3 linked regions of the Kluyveromyces lactis genome follow. The protein of the gene in region 3 purifies or fractionates together with the protein of the main gene of each other region. This does not show direct contact. Links are inferred from orthologs where the notes say so. Each region holds a gene or a part of one and is shown on either strand. Other genes may lie near its edges.

Region 1 (4,179 bases), on a different chromosome or scaffold from region 3:
ATCCAATGTCTTTTTCATCACTTCAATGACCTCTTGGTTCTTAGATAAGGCCAAATAATCATTAGAACACCAAACAGTAACCTTGTCATCTTCTAGCTTTCTATGAGCCATTGGGAACTCCTTAGCCAAACGGTTGATATTGTTGAAGAACCTGTAAGACTTATCCATTCTCTTCTTAGCCAAATCAGAATCGAACAAACCTTGGTAATCAAAAGACGCTTCCTTAGTGGCATGATCGACTACATCTGCAGAAGCAGAAGCTTCAACGGATGAATTAGAATTAGAAGCGCTTGTGCTTGCAGTAGCAGTAGCGGCAGCGGCAGCAGAGGCTCCAGAAGCACTAGAAGCATAACCCCTACGTTGTTCCATAGCCTTACCCATAAATGGACATTGTTGAGCGATAGCTGGTAAGTTCGCATTCTTCAAAGCCTTGACACTCTGCATTGATCCAGTGGCAGAGTGCATAAATGGACAGATCTTGGCAGAAGAACGAATAACAGATTCCATGTTTTTTCAATCCAAAATGAAGACGGTTAAGTGTGTGCAAGGGAAACCAATAAAAGAAGCTTTCTCACTCGCAAAGATATAGCCACTTCTAACAGGTAGAATCTTTTTAAATTTTTCTCTTCAGTGACGAAAGTGAAACCTGGTGTATCAAAGAATATTTTACTCTAGATTAGAGAAGCACTGAACCAAAACCAAAGGTGTATCTTAAGTTAAACCTGAAGCTCATCTCTTATTATATAATTATGAAAACATATCATATTATATCTTTTTTTGAGTTTTCAGTCATTTTTTCCTCAGTCATTTTCATTTTCAGGCAATATGAGAGGATTTTACCTTTGAAATGATTCCGACATTGCCAGTTCCGCAGAAGATATTGTAGGAAGACAGGGAAGGGAAAAGGGAAAAAAAGAAATGCTGGACTTAGGAGCTTTTCTTTTTGGAGGTTTTCAGCCAATAAGAGTAGAGGATGATGTGAGCGAAGCGAAGAGCTGTGGCAGTAATGCTGGCCCTGGCCCTGGACCTGGCAGTTGAAGCTGGGGATTGGCCTGGATGAGCATGGTTCGCTTAGCGGGAGCAAGTCCGAGTTTAAGCTATGTTGGTGTCGCTTCGCGACACCAACCACCGCCAGAAATTTAACTTCTAGAGAATACCAATAACTAACTACTCTAACCAAATCTTATTATTACATATCATTACAATGAAGCTAGCTACGCAGGACAGTAAAAATAAAACCGCAAGGTCACATTTTCCTCAAGGCCTCGATGGCTTTCGGATGGCCAAGACGAGCAGCAGTTTCGTGGTGTACCTTGGCCTCTTGTATGTTTGGCTGACATCCAAGGCCTTTCTCCAAGTAAAATGCTAATGCATACTCTGCTCTTGGTAATTTCCCGTCAGATAATTTCGAAGCACGTGACACCCACTTGAAGGCCTCTACGTCGTTCGGTTTCAATATCCCCTCAGCACCGGTAAGGTACCAGCCACTAAGTGCTACCATGGCTAACGGGTTTGGTTTGGTCTTGTTCATGGAACTCTTTGCGTACCATGCAATGGACTTCTTGGGTATTACAGGTAGTCCCATCTCCCCAAATTCATAAAAATGACCCAATTTGTATTGGGCTTGAGAATAATCGAAGTCATGGGCGCATCTATAATAGTATTTGATCGATTTTTCCTTATCTTGAGTGATTCCGTTTCTCAGAAGCTCTTGTCTAACGGATTCGTCTAACTCTTCAAATCCGTAAATCTTACCCAACTCAACCATCGCTTGTGGCGATACTGATTCCAGTTCTACATGAGCCTTATCGTCTCGTGGGATTTCGATCTCCTTGGTAGCCATTCTAAACCAGTATAAAGCTTGTACAGGGTCTCTTTTGATAACGATTTCACCAGATTTCGTTCTCAGTCCTTTCAAATAGAACATCCCGAGCTTGTACATGGATACAGAATGTCCATTGGTCAAAGCTGCCATTTCATAGTACTTCTGTGAAATCTTTAAAGCTTCGTATTCACTCACAGTTGTGTAATCTACTCCACGTCCGTACTCGTAGCTGACACTGGTCCGATACATGGCATCCTTATGACCCATATCGGCTGCTCTGCGATAGTAGTCTAGAGCTTTTGCATCATTCTTAGACACGATATCCATGGGCCTTGGAATATCTACGTAAGGGTGGTGGGAATAAAGTGTCCCTAATAGGTAGATCGCTGGTGAATAGTTTAACTGAGTTAGTTTCGTTAACACGCGTAACGCATGCTCTAAAATGGTCCTTTTATTCTGTAGCATTTCGGTCTCAGTTAAATCCCGTTTCAACTTTTCAGCATTGATATTGTATCTGATTAAGAAAGTGGGCTTGAACGCATATTGCAACAGTGTCTCGCACCATTTCAACTGGATATCCTTCGTAAACTTGTTTGCGTCCTTGACGGTTCTGTCATATGCTTCATAAAACGCGACAGCCTCGGAAGAGTAATTTGAAAGATCCCGTTCACTCTTAGCACTGCTAGGCGGGTTATCCACTTTGGGTATGCTGACTTGCTGCGCCGGTGGTGGTTGTCGTGATACTGGCGTCGTTACCGTTGACTGGGAGCTTTGTCTTGTATCTTTCTCATACATTTGGTATGGAATATTCGTATCTGCAACATGATTCTGGGGCAGATCATCAACCGGATATGGTGTATTCTTACTTGGCTCGTGACCTGGCGGGTACATGTTTATGTAGTTGCCATACGCGTTTCTTTGTCGGTTGTTATCCATTCTATTTCTCTCAAGAGAACGATTTACCAATGTCCTATCCTTTCTACGAATTTCTTCCGTGCAAACGCTTTCGAATCCAATACTACTTGCAGAGCAACTCACTTACCCACAGACTCAAGCTGATACCAGAGGGCAGTGTTTCCAGAAGCCTAGTTGAAATGCTTAACGGCCACTGTATTTTTGTTGCAACTCATCGTTTCAGATTAATTCAATTTACCATTATTTTACTGATTTTCAGAGTATCGGATTCTGTCGCCTTTTTTTCATTTCTACTGCGACAGTACATATGAATCGCAGAAAGCGACTTTTAAATATAGAACGGATAAATAAATGTACATATTGTGTCAGTTTAATATGTTCAAGACAAACTAGGAATGCATTTCCAGAGACTTGCTATAGTTTCACTGTTTAAAAAGTCACTTAGGTCAAGAATTTCCAAGTACCTTCTGATTTTATGATTAAATACTGACGCTTCCCAAATATTCCATATTTTTCAATTATTTTTCGGTTTGGAAAAAGTTGTGTCTGTAGGAAAACTGATTGACAAACTAAGATTATAAGATGAGATGATGCTAAAAGCGTTGACAAGTAAGCAGCAATTGAGATCTTCATTAAGCTAACCTAGGTAGCTGTCAAGTAATATAAACTCCCGTTGAATTGATATTTTAATATTCAGAGCGCAAACATGGTGTGGCCATTTTCTAAGAGTAAAACGCAAGAAGCAAGTACCGAGGTGGAAAGGAGTATATCAGAGGAACAGCAATTAACGAATTATGCTAAAGGACAGAAGTTTCTATTTGAGGATACAAAACCCAAATTCAATAATGAGTCCAGTAGTATGGCTGCTCGAGAGCAGGAACGTGCGTCTTTGAAAGAGGCATGGAATACGATAGACGTGAAAGATTTCAGTGTCGAAAAGGTACTGTCAATTCCATGTTTCAGAGACGCAGGGATCGGAGGGTTTACATCGATGTTTGTTGTCGGATCAGTGATGTTCTTGTACCATAAGAATCCTGCTCGTGCGGCAAATTGGGGTGTAGGAGGTTTCATACTTGGATCCATTGTAGGATGGGAGCAATGTCGCATGCGTCGTAGACGAAGCTTCCAAGTGGCAGCAATGGCCAAACAGACTGTTGCAGCAAAGGAGAAACCAATGCTGAAACAGGTTAAGAATATAGATACAGTCAAGAAGGAATGGGAAGAGGGCTCTAGAAACAGTAAACCTTGGTACAAATTTTGGTAGGTGCAAGACATGATATTGACTTACCACCACGTGACCTCGTATCTTTTTTACCCAACATAAGACGTCGTAGGCAATATTTTAGGCATGTAGAGTGAGAATGAATAATTCTTGATTCCTGGCACAATAGTACAGGACATCATTTAATGACATATACCGTTTATAATACCACTGCATA
Region 2 (4,986 bases), on a different chromosome or scaffold from region 3:
TCTGCTGGGTTGTCCAATGGAATGGAGTAGACAGTGTTCAATGGGAAACCTGGAGTGCCTGGGATAGCAAAGCTATCTAAACCTAGATTCATTAATTTCTTAACAGCTTCGTTATAACTAGTCGATAAATTCAAATTTGCCAAACAGTCGTTTATGAATAGAATGCCGTAGATTAATATTCTATCAGCTGGGGATTTGATCTCAAAGTTCTTAAAGAAGGAATTGGCACGGAAAAGATCTAGACATTCATCGATAATATCGTAGTCTGAATTGGACTGGTAAGCTGGTCCTCTATATTTCGTATTCAATGGAAGTAGTGCAAAGTTACCCACGAAACGATCAGTAGCTGGGTCCGCTAGAAAAGTAGAATGGAAAGCTGGCATTATGTGTTTGTATTAAGGTCTGACGAGATTATCACCCGATTTGATACTCCTGCGATTTTAATTCAGACGTACTTTAGCTACCTAATCATATATTTTACCACATATGTTATTTCATAGTTTAGTTTTCATATTGAAGTAGCTTTTCAGTTTTAGGCAGAGAAAAGGGGTTTCACTAACAGAAGTTACAACAGTTGATTCGATCACTTGGTGATGTATTAGTGATGATCTAAAGCATCAAGTAGGTATAGCAAAGGGAAGATAGAGGAGGGTCCGGAATTATCGAGGCCTAATCAACTAGTCTTTTGATACCATCCCAAAAGTAGCAATCACGTGACTCATGTAATACAGATTCAGCTTCCCCTGACTTCAAAAAATTACATAATACAATAAAAAATAAAAATACGCATACAGAAGCCACTGTGCCAATAGTCACGATAACCATCTGATTGAGGCTAGTGACAGGATCTGGAACAGCAAGGTTATACACAAATTACCGGACGTAAATTTCTATTTTCACTGCTATTTTTTTTTCCATATTTTTTGCTTGTTTTCCGCACTATGATGATGTCCCAAATCTCAACTTCATGCACCGATGTTTCGTAAGTTGAGAATTTGATTTGATTTGATCATTTGAAAGAAAATAACGGAAACCTGATAAATAATAAGGAGCAAGGCTTGATTGAAGGTTTTGTTGACACAGAGATTTGGGCTAAGAAAGTGTTATTTCGATACCGGAACGGCAGATTGGAAACTTAGGGTGGTGTACAGTAATCTGAGAGAGTACGTTTGGTGTGTGTGAACGGGAATAATTTCATAAGGCGCAATTACAAACTCTGTTCGGTTTTCGTTTTGGTTTCAGTTTTCCTTTATTATTGTATTTTTATTTTGGTTGAGGTTGTCTGTTATTCCAGTTCCAATATCCTTTCAAACTTGAGTATTCCATTATTCCTTTCATTTCTGGGATTAGTGTCTTTCTTTTTGCTTTTGGTTGACCTAAGAGAAGCTTAGAACAGGATTTTTGCATTAAGTGTCTTTTTGTTCTTTCTAAAGCGAGACAATGAGTTTTTCCTCCAATGATATGGAACAAGACTCCAGGAGGCAATTGTTCACCCAGATTTTTGGTATTGAGCGGCCTTTGTCGCCTCCCCCAAGTAATGTACCGAGAGAACTGCCAGATTCTTTAGATATGATGAGTTTAAAGGCTGTGCTCAATGAAGATGTAGAGAACGATTTACTGCAAAATAGAGGTCAGATCTCAGAAAACAAAACTGGGACTGAAAGGAGTGTTTTCAGAAGTCCTGTCCATGTTCGTCAAATAAGTGACGTTCCAAGTATGGACACGGAGGATGATATTGTGACTCCTCCAGAGTCGACTTCTCCACAGGCGTATCCACCAGAGGATCTTTCTTTACCTAAGCAGCGACCTATGTCGCATCATCATCATGGTAGACCAGCGCCGCCCGCCATGGACATGATTCATGAATCACCGAGAAGGTCAAAGAGTGAAAATTTCAATTCAAAGCCGTCTTTACCAAAACTTTCAACTACAGGACAAATTAACAACAACAGCAGCAACAACTATAGCAACAACATTAGTAATCTTAATTCACGGGGATCATTCAGTGCCAAAAAATCTCCGCTGCAAGGATTTGGACTATTTTCAAGATCTAGCTCGAAATATTTGCAAGCGGATGCAAACCTTTCGTCGAATAATTACAATAATAACTCATCATCTGATCACATTTTCGGAAGGACTCAGTCTATAAGTTCTTCTACTTTCAAAAACTTTACTTCTTCTTTGCATGGGAAAACTAAAACCGTTGGTGGTCGAACCATTCCGCAAAAGTACGATCACTCAACGAACCCATTGCTTGATTCAACGCTAGGTCTGGGCATCAAACAAAGAGCATCTTCTGCATCGTTGTCCACCGAATCAGCTATGTCGAGGCATATACGTAGAACATCCACCAGCTCATTACACACAAAGCATATAGTGGTATCAAGTTCTATTAGGAGACCCCAGGTGTATCCCGCAATGCTATCGAGAGTTGCGACAGCTTTCAGAAAGTCAATCACATTGTGCGAACACAAAAAAGATGGACTAGTTTACAGAGACGCATTTACTGGTCAACAAGCCATTGATGTCATCTGCTCAATAATAAGGACAAATGATCGTAATTTAGCTTTGTTATTGGGGAGAGCACTTGATGCTCAAAAACTCTTCCACGATGTGATTTATGAACACAGGCTTCGTGATTCCCCTAACGAAGTTTACGAATTTACAGGCAATTCCAGAGTTATCGGTAAAGGCATATATGAGATCGGTTCTACTAACAATTTCTCTGCTTCCCAATCCAGCACTACCATCGCACCTTCCAAATCCGAATCTAGTCTGTCTCTGATGGAGAAACCGGAGGATCTAGACTCTTATCATCAAGTGAACGGTGTATTCACATTGTTAGCAGAATGTTACTCTCCAACTTGTACTAGAAACAGGTTATGTTATTCTATTTCATGTCCAAAGCGACTCGAACAACAAGCTCGTTTGAATTTAAAGCCAAATGGTGGATTAAAAAGAAATATTTCTATGGCAATTGATGATGACGATGAAGAAAAATCATCATGGACAAGTTCTGTTCCAGAAGAACTCTGGAGTTCACTTACCAAACGTGAGATTAAAAGACAGGAAGCTATTTACGAAGTCTACAGCACAGAAAAGAAATTTGTCAAATCCCTTGAGATTCTTAGAGATACATTTATGAAGAAACTAGCTGAAACTAACATCATTCCTGCCGATATACGCAAAAATTTTATCAAACATGTTTTCGCCCATGTTAATGACATATATTCCGTAAACAGACGGCTCCTAGACGCTTTGTCAGAAAGACAAAAAGCATCTCCGATAGTCGATGGAATTGGTGATATTTTACTACGTTTCGTTCCATTTTTTGAACCTTTTGTTATGTATGTGGCATCCAGGCCGTATGCTAAATATTTGATCGAAACTCAGAGGTCCGTTAACCCATATTTCGCTCGGTTTGATGATGACCTGATGAACTCTAAGTTAAGACATGGGATTGATTCCTTTTTGTCTCAAGGTGTTTCTAGGCCAGGTCGTTATGTCCTACTTGTTAGAGAAATAATGAAGTCTACCGACCCTGAAACTGAAAAGAGGGACTTGGAGAATTTAACAAGGGCCCTAGAAGCCCTTCGTGCATTTATGAAACGTATTGATAAGGCTAGTGGTGCTGCTCAGGACAGACATGATGTTAAATTGTTGAAGCAAAAGATTCTTTTCAAGAATGAGTATGTCAACATGGGATTGAATGATGATAAACGGAAGATCAAGCATGAAGGCCTTCTATCAAGAAAAGAAATTACCAAGAATGAAAATGGTGTTACAGGTGACCTTCAATTTTATCTACTGGACAATATGTTATTATTTTTGAAGTCAAAAGCAGTCAATAAATGGAATCAACATAAAGTTTTCCAGCGGCCTATACCTCTCCCGTTGTTATTTGCCGCTCCTGGTGAAGAAATGCCAAGTTTAAAGAGACATATTTGCGGTAAACCGGATAGTCAAGGTATGGTTATTTATCCTGATGCAATCGCTGGCACGAATCCCAGAAATGCTATCTCTTTCACGTATTATGGTGCTAAAAACAAATACCAAGTAACGTTATACGCAGCACAGTTCGCAGCAATGCAAACGCTTCTTGAGAAGATAAAGCAGGAACAAGCTAGGATTATCAAAGAAAACGATATCTTTAACGTTTGCAAAATTAGTGATAGGTATTTTGATTACTCCAATAAGATTAACAGCGTTGCATCTTGTGATGGCGGACGGAAGTTAATAATCGCCACCTCGCAAGGCCTATTTTACAGTAACATTAGAAGAGCAGAAAACTCTATAATATTCGGGGCTCCTACAAAGCTTCTGACAAAGAGTAACATCTCACAACTCTCTGTGTTAGAAGAATTCCAATCGATCTTGATCTTAGCTGACAAAAAATTATACAGCTGTTCATTTGATATTTTAAAAATAACAGATCCTCAAGCGGGGAACACTTATTTCAAGAAACATGCCAAGGAACTAGTAACCCACGTCTCTTTCTTCAGTGATGGAGACTGTAACGGTAAAAAGTTAATCGTAACTGCACACACTTCTCACAATTCCATCAAATACTTTGAGCACGAACATCCATTATTGCATGAAAAGAAACACACCAAGAAGAAATTCACCGAGGTCGAGTTTGATAGCGAGCCAGTATCCATATCATTCTTAAAAGCGAATTTATGTATCGGTTGTAAAAAGGGTTTCCAAATTGTATCAGTATCACAAAACGCACACGAACCTTTATTAGACCCTGCGGACACCTCTTTAGATTTTGCATTAAAGGATTCACTACATCCTCAAGTCATATACCGCGTTGGAAACATGTTTTTCTTATGTTATACAGAATTCGCCTTCTTCGTCAACAACCAGGGCTGGCGTAAAAAAGAGTACAATGTTGTACACTGGGAAGGTGAACCAGAAAAGTTCGCCATTTGGTATCCTTACATCATTGCATTTGACAGTAACTTCATTGAGATCAGAAAGGTA
Region 3 (3,631 bases):
TATTTTTGTATAATAGTAATATCAATTTTAATATAAGGTTATTTCATTGAAAAATTGAACTATCAAACATCAGTTTACTAATCATTTACTTGGGTACTCTGAGCGAGCTACCCTCTTGCGAAATCTACTGTGATGCTCGTTAAAGTGTGTGGTTTGCAAACCGTTGAAGCTGCAAAGACTGCTGTGGATGATGGTGCTGATTACTTAGGTATCATTTGTGTTCCCGGTAGGAAAAGAACCATTGACTCATCTGTTGCGAAAGGTATTTCAACTGCAGTTCACCAACAAGAGAACGTGAAAGGTACTAAACTAGTCGGGGTGTTTAGAAATCAGTCCGTTGATGATGTCCTTCAACTGTACCACGAATATAATCTAGATGTGATACAATTACATGGAGATGAAGATATTAAAGAATACAGATCTTTGATCCCATCTTCAATTCCAATCATTAAGAGGTTCCAGTTCCCACAGGATTGTGAATTACTACTGGACCTGTATGAACACGTAGACAATGTGCTGACGTTGTTCGATTCTGGTGAAGGTGGCACTGGTGAGAAATTGAATTGGAGTGCAATTTCCAGTTGGTCTGCAAGTCATCCCGAGATAAAATTCATTATCGCTGGTGGATTGAATCCTGATAACGTTTCTGTTGCCATTAATATGTTACCAAATGCGATCGGTGTCGATGTAAGTGGAGGAGTAGAGACTGATGGTATCAAGGATTTAGAAAAGGTAAAGCTATTCATCCAGCAGGCCTCTCAATAGAGGAAAAAACGTATCTTTCTTCAATTACACATACGTATATATAAATTGATATATATATAGTGAATGATCGTTCCACTTTTTAAGCAGAACCGGAGATGAAGAACCATTTGTCAATGGACTTGTCGATTGGTTCATCTGGCAAGACGTTAGCAGCTGGAACAGCAGAGGCAGCTTCGGCTGAGTAAGTAGCAGTGTCAGACAAAGTGGTGTTAGTCAAGTCGATCTTCTTGGCATCAGCAGACTTACCAGAAATCAACTTCTTCCAGGCTTCGTTACATTCTCTGATGACGTCCAAGGTGTACTTCTTGTTCTTGGCTTCACCGGAGAAGGCAAATTGGTTTTCTGGCTTACCATCTGGGATCTTGTAGATTCTGAACCATTCATTGGTGGCTCTCAACAAACCTGGTAAATGCTTTTCAACATCTTCGATGTCGTTCAACTTAGGAGCCAATGGATCGTTAATATCGATGGCAATGACCTTCCAGTCAGTTTCACCTTCGTCCAACAATGCCATAACACCAAGAACCTTGACTTGTTTCACTTGACCAGTGTAAGCAACTTGCTCACCGATTTCCAAGACATCCAATGGATCGTTGTCACCAACAGCCTTAGTCTCTGGGTGAGATTCGTTTGGATCTTCCCATGTTTGTGGGAAGGCACCGTAGTTGTGAATGTAACCGTGATGTGGGAAACAGTTTCTAACAAATCTTAACTTACCCTTCTTGGTGTCTTGAATAATTGGGTTCAATGGCTCTTCCTTGGTAATTTCCAACTTGGCATTGGTCCAACGTGGAATTTCAACAACCATGTTGAAGATACCATTGGCTTCATCAGCATACAATGGGATGTCGTGGAAAGCAGAAATTGGCTTACCATCCTTTTCAATGTAAACCTTGTAATCCAAGGAATTCTTGGCACCAACTTGTCTAGTAGTGTAACTCATCGTGTCCGGTGTATATATACGTTTGGCGGGGGGTATATAAGGCTGTATATCAATTGAAGAACCTAAGATCATATATATGGCGTCAGTGGCCAATGGTAAACCAGTGCAGGCATTTTTCATTCCTATTTATATATGAATTTTGCAACTTTTTTTTCCTCAGGTCGTCCACTTTGAGAGAACGACAGGATGGAAAAGAAGCAGATTGGTGCTTGAAGAAGCGATAGTTTAGGAAGTGGCTGATTCTGTGTTCGTGTGTAGGTGTGCTAGGGTATACATTAGGGTCTGTATATATTTGGTCCGATTGTATACAGTTGCAGTTGCATAGTGTATTTTTTTTAAAGTCATTGGGTTTAATCATGCTTCTCTCTTTGTAGTAACAGAGTTTCACATTAGGGGAAAATCACGTGATAAGAGTGCTTTTGGGGAAAAGCCACACGATAGGTACCGCATGGTCGTGGCTTGCTGAAACGGTAGGTCAACGTACAATCGACGTGTGTACTGACGAACAAACATTGACTGCAACACGATACCATTTTACAATAGTATACTGGTTAGCTTATCGCCCTTTTTTATTGAACCAGTGGTTGTGTATTCTCACATGAGCTTGATCATCTGATTGTAAAAGTATCAGGTGTAGTTGTTTTTCTTACCCCATCAAACAAGAAATTAACAGCTTCTATGGCCAAGTTGGTAAGGCGCCACACTAGTAATGTGGAGATCATCAGTTCGACTCTGGTTGGAAGCATTTTCTTTTTTGTCTCATGTGAGCAAGAGACACCACCTGTAATATGGCCTCGCTACCTAGTATACTTAGCCCATCACTGATGATTTGAACCACTACTCTATCCTATTACCAATTAAATAGATGTACACACACATATCTTCAGCATATCGAGTCTTCCCTTCATCGTATGAAGCCATCATCCATCACATCTTGATCTATTTCACCACCACCCATCGGAATGTTGTGCTGTCTCACACTCATCAACAGTTTCTGGAACTCATCATGGTGCATCTTATTTATCAGAACGTTAGGCCTCAACTGGAATCCTTGTCTACACAAGGGACACAACCCTTTTGATGTTTCAGTACTTAGCCATTGCTTGATACAATGAACATGGAAATTATGATTGCATAATCCTAACACAATTGGACATCCGCTACCAGGGTAATCACAGGAGGGGCAAGTAGCATCGTACCGGTTACGACAGATCCCACACACTTCATATTCTTCTTCATCGTTCTCTGCATCCTCATCTTCATTCTGTATATCTTCCCATTTTTCCATATGTACCGTTTGATCTGCAACACCATGTTTCCCTTTCGATAAATCCTTGGGAATATCCCACGCCCAAGTGCTCACTAGACTGACATCTGTTACCTCTATACGCATAGTAACACGGGTGAAGTATCCTTATCGCAGGCTTTATCCTCGTCACAGTTCCCTTCGTTCTGTCTTTGTGTTTTCAATTCTTCCTATCTAATCCTTTCTTATAATATATTATACCCATATGCATAAAAGTGTCACAGGTTCTATTACAAATTTAATAAAGGGATCAGATCCACTGTAGTATAGTATACGAATGTTTATATATGTTATAGGCCAAGTTTTAAGTCGCAGCAGCAGCTTTCTTCACGGATAAAGTAGATCCGGCCCATGTCTTCAAGCTCTGTAATAATGAATTATCCTCATGTAATCCAGCAAATTCATCGCTACCACCACGAGATATACCATTGATAATAACGTTAGGAACAGTAGACCTTCCTGTCTTGCTACCGATATATTTCTGTAGTTCAGCTCCATTCTCATGCTTATCCAATTCAACGATAGTATAAATTGGATCAAATTCATACTCCTTCAACAAGTTCTTGAGCCTCGTACTGAAAGGACAGTAACTCTTAGAAAACACCACGATTGGTGAT

What was found. Proteins that work in one complex are often made in the same cells at the same time.
Region 1: the proteins of IPP1 (region 3) and ACK1 purify together in Saccharomyces cerevisiae (affinity purification with mass spectrometry; 3 studies listed by BioGRID). This does not show direct contact. The link is inferred for Kluyveromyces lactis from reciprocal best matches to the Saccharomyces cerevisiae genes IPP1 and ACK1.
Region 2: the proteins of IPP1 (region 3) and ROM2 purify together in Saccharomyces cerevisiae (affinity purification with mass spectrometry; 4 studies listed by BioGRID). This does not show direct contact. The link is inferred for Kluyveromyces lactis from reciprocal best matches to the Saccharomyces cerevisiae genes IPP1 and ROM2.

Annotation. Positions count from the first base shown.
Region 1 is NC_006039.1:1,307,878-1,312,056, reverse strand, and holds ACK1 (Ack1p), read right to left. Parts: upstream 2,762-4,179; coding exon 1,247-2,761; downstream 1-1,246. Other genes in the region: HEM1 (5-aminolevulinate synthase), read right to left, coding at 1-507; COX20 (Cox20p), read left to right, coding at 3,447-4,004.
Region 2 is NC_006038.1:683,098-688,083, reverse strand, and holds the start of ROM2 (Rho family guanine nucleotide exchange factor ROM2), read left to right. Parts: upstream 1-1,440; coding exon 1,441-4,986. Other genes in the region: ARC18 (Arc18p), read right to left, coding at 1-383. UniProt on the Saccharomyces cerevisiae protein: Stimulates the exchange of RHO1 GDP-bound form into GTP-bound form.
Region 3 is NC_006041.1:1,568,406-1,572,036, forward strand, and holds IPP1 (inorganic diphosphatase IPP1), read right to left. Parts: upstream 1,829-3,631; coding exon 845-1,828; downstream 1-844. Other genes in the region: phosphoribosylanthranilate isomerase TRP1, read left to right, coding at 133-765; APC11 (anaphase promoting complex subunit 11), read right to left, coding at 2,613-3,101; KLLA0_E17733g (glutaredoxin), read right to left, coding at 3,319-3,631.